Linked DNA regions of Arabidopsis thaliana. The protein of the gene in region 1 interacts with the protein of each later gene in a pairwise test. Each region holds a gene or a part of one and is shown in the gene's direction. Other genes may lie near its edges.

The links. Proteins that work in one complex are often made in the same cells at the same time.
Region 2: the proteins of AT1G05410 (region 1) and AT4G12450 interact in a two-hybrid assay, tested with the Arabidopsis thaliana proteins (one large-scale study listed by BioGRID).

What each region holds. Positions count from the first base shown.
Region 1 is NC_003070.9:1,584,825-1,589,340, reverse strand, and holds AT1G05410 (CDPK adapter, putative (DUF1423)), read left to right. Parts: upstream 1-1,546; 5' UTR 1,547-1,745; intron 1,746-2,062; 5' UTR 2,063-2,072; coding exon 2,073-2,433; intron 2,434-2,617; coding exon 2,618-3,183; intron 3,184-3,250; coding exon 3,251-3,311; intron 3,312-3,409; coding exon 3,410-3,837; 3' UTR 3,838-3,970; downstream 3,971-4,516. Other genes in the region: AT1G05400 (uncharacterized protein), read right to left, coding at 4,097-4,180, 4,281-4,516.
Region 2 is NC_003075.7:7,385,153-7,388,599, reverse strand, and holds AT4G12450 (zinc finger (C2H2 type) family protein), read left to right. Parts: upstream 1-1,668; 5' UTR 1,669-1,925; coding exon 1,926-2,759; 3' UTR 2,760-2,905; downstream 2,906-3,447.

The sequences.
Region 1 (4,516 bases):
TGTTTTCTCCATTATCAACATATACAAATTATATGAGTAAACTTCAACAATATAATCCAAAATTGTACTGTTTATCTTTATATTTTCACGCTTTTTTTTTCTTAATGTCATAGGCAAAAATTCTGCGGGGAGAGCAAAACCTTTATTGTTTAGTAAATAATTTTCTTCAATTCATTTACGAACTCTAGACATAATAAATAAATTAACGCCAAATAAGAGGAATTATTGTCCTTGCAAATATATACAGCAAGAACTCACGAGGAGGCAATGTTTGGACTAACCTAAACTGGCCATCTCATGACTCAAAGACGAAAGATCGATGTTTGTGCAAAGTACACTGACTCACTTCACTTCTCATTGATCAATCTTAACTAATATTTGTTCTCTTCCCTTTTTCAGTTTATCTTAGACCATTGTTTCTCCTAGCAACAAATTCACCGAATGATCATGTCGCGATTAGTTTTGGGATAAAATCATAAAATTGCTTCTCATCAAGAATTGCTCCGCAAAATCAATGTTCAAGCAGATTACTAGACCAAAATTTATGATCGAGTAGTCCGAATATAATCTTTTGCATTTAAAGCCTCTAAAATTTACAAATATCTAACCAATGTTACAACATGGCATGTACCTAGTACAAGCTACTAGGTTACAACTTCAGAGCGAAGAATTAAAAAATGAGAATCCTATATTAATGAATATTCTCGCTTGAGAAATCTATGCATGACAACTTTCTATCATCAACAATAATAATTAGATTTGATCAATCTCTGTCGACGAGAACCCGCCAAAAGTGGTGACTGAGAGACATGTCACACAACATCGCCCTATTTATACGTAGAAATATCGATCTATATATATATATATACTAGATCGACAATAATATGGTAAGTTTTTTTATTTTAAATATGGTAAGTAATAAATGCTTGTAATACGAAAGGCCTTTATGCTCTACTCATTGTTTGGTGTATAAAAAAAAAATGGAATCAAGGTGTCAGATATGATGGTACAGCAATTTTTAGCCCCACACGTTGTCATTTTTCTTTGGAAGGTACATTGAGATCAATTTCTATTTTTGTATTATTTTGAAATCATCATATAGTTTCATTGGATTTATCACAAGAGGAATCTTATAAAAATGCGAATGGGTATATCTATCTCTCTTTCAATATCTATGTCACACAAGTGTTGTTGCTATATTGTAGGGACATGTCAAAACTTGTCGACAAAAGCTCCATGAATGGGAAACATTGACATCAAGATACAAAATCACATGATTCTTCAACTTGTGAAAGTTTTCGAGTGTGAACATCAGACTCACATAAAACTCCATTGTAGATATCTCTTGTCATAAGACACTGTCACATTCAATATCGTTTTCAAACTCTCCAAAATACTGCCTGATTGCAATGTTACAATTTTGTCATGGACCCACCAATCCCTGTGAACCAAGCCGGTTACTGTTTATTACTCCGACCCGACCCGGGCTTTTTAAAGATAGGCCCAAGAAGGCCCAATGATTGAAATGTGAAATGTTTGATACATTGATGTTTTTGATCTTCGCTCAAACCCTACAATAAAACTTTGGTTCCTCCGAATTTCGAGTTCTTGTTCTTCCCAAGGCCCCTACTTCGGCCCTAGCATCAACCATTGTCGTTTTAAAGCTCCAGGTTTTCATGGCCAAGAAAGAAGTAACTATCGTTGAGATCTTCTGAAATTAATCAGTCTTGAAGTCTCTGGAGATTGTACGTTTCTCTTCTTCCTTTCCTCGTCGGTTTTAATGGATTCCGTTTGCCTGATTTGCAGTTTCTGCTTCACCGTGAAATCGAAACTCGTTTTGCTCTTAAACAAATATTATGCATGCGTTTCAATTTGGGTCTTTTTCTTGACAATATTGGTTCTGTTTGGATTAAGAAATTGAAAATTAGTTTTGTAGCTGAGCCTTTTCTCTTGTGTGTATAGGAACTGAGCTATATCAGTAGTGTATCTAGCATATTTGATTAATGTTCCTTCATGTTGTTCTTATTGAAGCTGCTTCCATTGGTTTTGTGATTGAGTGCAGGTCTTATAACATGGACTCCATGGATATTGATCAAAGTAACATAGGTGAATCGCCTCACCTTCTGCTGAGACCAGTAAGTCCATTGGAATCTGGTGAAGGTTTACCTTATGCTCCTGAGAATTGGCCTAATCCTGGAGATACTTGGCATTGGAAGGTTGGACCGAGAATTAGCGGTAAAGGCTACTTCGTGGATAGATACTTATATCCTCCTAAGTATCTTCCCGGTTTAGATACTGAAATATTGCGGAAAAATAAGGTGTTTAGGAGCAGGCTCTCGCTCCAACGATATATTCGTGTACACTTCCCTGAAGCGGATGTTCAAAAGTTCTTTGCTTCTTTCAGCTGGAGCATACCCTGCAGAGATGGTCAAGGTTCAATTTACTCTATATGATGCTTTACTCAAATATATACAATTCCAGTAGACTTACTATGTTTTTCCTTATGCTTCTCTCATCGCATGTTTCTGTTAGTTCTTCTTAACCATATGAATTACGTTTCAACATTCTGAACAAGTTACTGATTTCTTGGCATGGTGATTTGTTCTCTGTTTGACAGGTGTTTTGCCTCAGAAGCAGGTTCAGTTACCAGTGTATAGCTCAGATGAAGATCCAATGCGTGATGATGGATCTGATACTGCGGTCTGTAAGGCTGGTAATGAAAAATGCCGGAGCCTGATGCCACAGTGCGAAGCCGAGACTTTACCTGCTATGCCTTGTGACATTTGCTGCGGTGAACGTAAGTTCTGCGTTGATTGCTGTTGCATCCTTTGCTGCAAGTTAATAAGTTTGGAGCATGGAGGCTATAGCTATATCAAATGTGAAGCTGTGGTTTCCGAGGGTCACATATGTGGACATGTTGCTCATATGAACTGTGCTCTTCGAGCTTATCTGGCTGGAACCATTGGAGGCAGCATGGGATTGGATACTGAATACTACTGCAGGCGATGTGACGCCAAAAAGGACTTGTTTCCACATGTCAACAAGTTTCTAGAAATATGTCAGACTGTAGAATATCAAGGCGACGTGGAGAAGATCCTGAATCTCGGTATTTGTATCTTGCGGGGAGCACAAAGAGACAATGCTAAGGAGCTATTAAATTGTATCGAATCAACAGTCATCAAGGTATAATATACTTTGTAAAATGTAATGTTTACTGGACGTTCCTGAAACTAAAGCCAACTCTTTTCAGCTTAAATGTGGCACGAGCTTGGAAGATCTCTGGAATGATGATACACCAACTATATGGTCAGGTACATATCCCTTAATCACGATCCTTTGCTTTGACTTGAATATGTATTGAAGTTGATTTATTGTTCATTATAACAGATTATCTTCATTCTGGTTGTAGATTACTCCGACAGTGGAGAAGCTAGAGAAAATGATACATTGCAAAGTTTACAGGACGTGACTCCAATTGGGCCCATACCATTCAACCATGAGGCTGAGATGCACAAACTCGAAGAAGAAATCGGCGAGGTTCTAAGAGCGCTGAGAAAGGCTCAGGAATTTGAGTACCAAATTGCAGAAGGCAAACTTCATGCTCAGAAAGAATGTCTGAGTGATCTGTATAGGCAGCTCGAGAAGGAGAAGTCAGAGCTGTCGAGGCGAGTATCAGGTACAGATGCGAATAGCTTGATGACGAATGTGCTGAAGAGATTGGATCAGATTAGAAAAGAAGTCACAAAGCTTAAAGAAATGGAAGAAGTAGCCAAGGGATTTGGTAGGACACCTAGAGGGGTTCTTGAAGAGTACTTTCATCTAAACATCGAGGACTAAGATTTATATAAGCACATCCATAATTGTACATTCGTTATGACGTTTGTTTTGTAAGTTTTTGATTCTTCCTCGTAAATCTGAGTTTTGGATGGTCATTTGTTTATTCATTAATCAATTTACGAGTAACAAATGCACAAAAGGTACAATGAAAAGGTCTTCTCCTTCATAAATTGAGATTTAAAATGACAATTATGGAATTAAAAACTTGGAGCCATCAATTAGCTAAATGGCCTTAAAGAGATACAAAAACATAATATGATCAACTTTGGTTGCCACCCCTAGTAGCATTCTCCGGACAAGAATCAAGAGGAGGCTCACCTTTGGGGTTAGTAAAGCGTTGACGCTGCGAGGAAAAAGACAGACGGGGTCAAATTTAGGCAAAGAAAAGAACAACTGAGAAAGAGAGAATATAGTTAAACAAGTGGCAAGGATGCTTAAATTACCTTGAGTTCATGTTCTCGAGTAGAGAGATGCGTGATGAAATTATCAACGCCTTGGCCAGCAATACCTGGGCCACAAATACGACGGCACACAGAGCAAATCCAGGAGGCAGGTCCAGGCGTTTCACTGCAGCTATCCTCCTCCTCCTCAAGTGGCCCTGGATCAGCTAGAAGAAAGTTTTTCCAGAGGGTGGAGGAGGCTTCTCGAGGAGACTCAAGTGGAAACGGGAAAATGGAGT
Region 2 (3,447 bases), on another chromosome or scaffold:
ATAAAAGGAGAGAAATGAAATTGTAAAGGAGGGTCAGATTGTAACGACATTATACATAACTTAATACATTATTCTTCAAATTCGATCTTGTTCGATTAACAAGGCATAGAGACATCGAAACATCCACAAATTTCTAATTGAGGTTTCTGACATCTACATACTAGTTAGTGGTAATCAAACTCTTTTCTATATTACTCACAAATTAAATGAAATGAAAAAATCAATTTTTTACTTTTTTCAATGCATAATTCGATTTGTACCAATGGATAATTTGTTGTTCGATAAATAAGAGTTGTTTTTTTCAGAAAAAAAAAGATAAATAAGTGCGGTTTATGAGATATCATCCTACCTAAAATATGCAAACATTTTTTTTGTTCTTGAAATACGCAATTGTAAAGATCTCTAATCAAGGTTTTAGAGTGAAATAAAAATGTTGAAATTTTTCTATTCTCAATTTTGTTTAATTTGTAGCATTCATGATAAATAAAATCATTTTTATTTTCTATTTTCTTCCATTTATGTTAAAAAAATAGAGTAGATTTTCTTCTACTTTCCATAAGAGTAAAAAAATTATACTCTATTTTGCTATTTTCTCTTGATACTGTATATTCTATTTCTACTTGTTTACTCTCACTCTTTTCTACTATTTTCTCTAAATAATACTAATCAAACTCTATATTTAAGCTATATAATTATACACTAAATAAATATATTTTCTTGAAGGAGTATATTTTTTTAATCCATATATTTATACACTATATATGTTTCCCAGAATATATTTTCTTAAGCCATATATTTATATATTATATATAAATTATCCAATACATACACTATACATATTTTAGATGCAATAACATGAAGCCACTATATATAAAAATACCACGAAAATACATATCTTTTCTCAAAATTAAATTAAAGTTGTCGCTTCATGATATTGCAGCTTCAAATGTGACATTTTTGTCTTATTAAAGCATAAAAAAAAATTAATAGCGACGCATTACCTTTTTCTTCCTTCTCATAGTTCTATATATTTTTATATTAAAATTTATTTAGTTTGTTTCACCAACAAATTGTATGCAATTAGTTCATATAATAATTCAAAAAATAAACTGTAGTTCGTTTTGGTGAATCCGACATTCCAACATCATACAAAGAAAGCTACTATTTAAAAACACATACTATTAAAATTTGATATTCTTTTATAATTATTATGGAACAAATATTTCATTTCAATCATTCAAGTCACAAGGTTCAAAAAAACCAAGAATACAAGGATCATAAAGTTTAAGACAAAACATACAAAAATATTTTACAATGCTAAAAAGGGATAAATAAAATATATCCACAAAATATGTATAAGAGCTTGAAAACAAAAGCTAAAAAGCAATTTGGCGCAAGTAATAACATTATTTGTCCTGAATTCATCATCCAACTATGCATTGGATAGAACAATGGTCATAATCAATAGACCACAAACGATATTCTCGCTGACACAAGAAAAACTAGATCAAGAAATTCATCGGCAAGGAAAAAGATATGTTATAACTAACTTCAACATTACAAGAAGTTAACTAAAATGAGACATGTGTTAATTCAATCATGATTAACAAGGTAAAAGCATTGTACGTGGTTATGATACATAATTAGTTTCTTTTGTTTTTACAGACAAGAAGCTGGAAAATTCACGTTGACATTGGTCAGGACCCAAAATAAAAGGGGTAATATCGTCATTTACTACCATAAAGAAACACCAACCGATAAAACGTCCATTCTAAGACGGCGGGACAATGTTCATACTTCATGGGTACATTACATACATACACCAAAAACTTCAAAGCCCCCACAAATCTCTAAACATATCACAAACTTCAAATTTCTAAAGACACAACCCGGATCCGGTTCCAAATCAAAACACAACCCGAAATATGCCGATCGGGTGGGTCAAATCCTTACATTGCAAATCAAAAGCATTCGACGATGTCTATCATCATCACTCCAACAAAGGTAAACTCTTATTGCCAAGTTACAGCTGCAGAAAAAACGTTAGAGACGTTGTCAATACACAACCCGGAACCGTTAAGAAAAACCCAAAACCGGACCCGAGTTTAAGACGTTTATGCTCTTCTCGTCGACCCGAATTAGACTCCAATTCTCATCACCCGACCCGACGAAGTGTATCAGCTCGAGCTTCCTCGGAATCTGTATTGCCCGTATTGACCGATCTTCCTGATGGTCATCCGTCAAGAAACGTCGTGGAGATTATATTCCAATCTAGTTGGAGCTCCGATGAGTTTCCGGGTCGGGTTGAAATGATTTTTAAAGTTGAAAACGGGTCAAAAGCTGTGACCCGGTTTGAGGAATATAGAGAAGCTGTGAAATCGCGATCGTGTTCGAAAGTTGATTCTGATAGAGTTGACGGCAGCGCGTGTGATGAAAACGCGCGGTGCTCCGCTGATGGGAATGAGATGATGAGGTTTTTTCCGTTGGGTCCGATTCCGGGAGGGATAAACGGCGGCGCGTGGGGTTTTCCCGGAGGGAAAGGAGCGGCGGTTTGTACGTTTTCCGGTAGCGGAGAAGCGCACGCGAGCACTGGCGGCGGAGGAGGGAGGAGAGCGATGTTGATTTGTAGAGTGATTGCGGGTCGGGTTGCGAAGAAAGGTGAATTCGGGTCGGATTCGGTAGCGGGTCGAGCTGGTGAGTTGATTGTCTTTGATGCTCGCGCGGTGTTGCCTTGTTTCTTAATCTTTTTCAGATTGTAAAAAATAATAATTATTATAAAATTTATACTAATTTTGATTTATATATTTTGGTTCCATTTTTTGGTTTGTTGTATCTGCTTCGTATTTTTCAGATTTATATTTAACTTTTCGTTCAAAATATATTTTTGGTTGTTTTTAGGGTCCAATCTATATACTTATGTTTAAGGTTTAGACAATTTGGCAGGATTCGATATTGAATAAAATCATTGATAGGTAGCAAATTAGATAAGAGATAATTAGTGATACCGTTTTTACAACCATTAATTTTATTTATGTATGTGATTTGTAACCACTGAAACGATAAAGTTTTTGCTATGGTAAAGAGTTCCCAGTCTAAAAATAAAGTGCACTTATTCAATGCAAGTATATGAATATATTCCATCTGTTTCATTATATATGATGTTTTAGAGTTTTAATTTTGTTTCATTATATAAAATGTTTACAAGTGTATACTTTATTTAAATAAGAAACAAATTTGATTCAACGTCACTAATTACTATTTTTATGGGAAATATTTTCGTGAAAAATTGTTTGATATATATAACAAATGCAGCACATTTTAAAATTAATTCGTTGACTGCAAAAGAGACAACTCACATGCAGATTACATGCAAATATATAAAAATATACATTTATGTGTGTGCATATATTAATGAGATTTTTTTTTTTGGACAACCTATATACGATT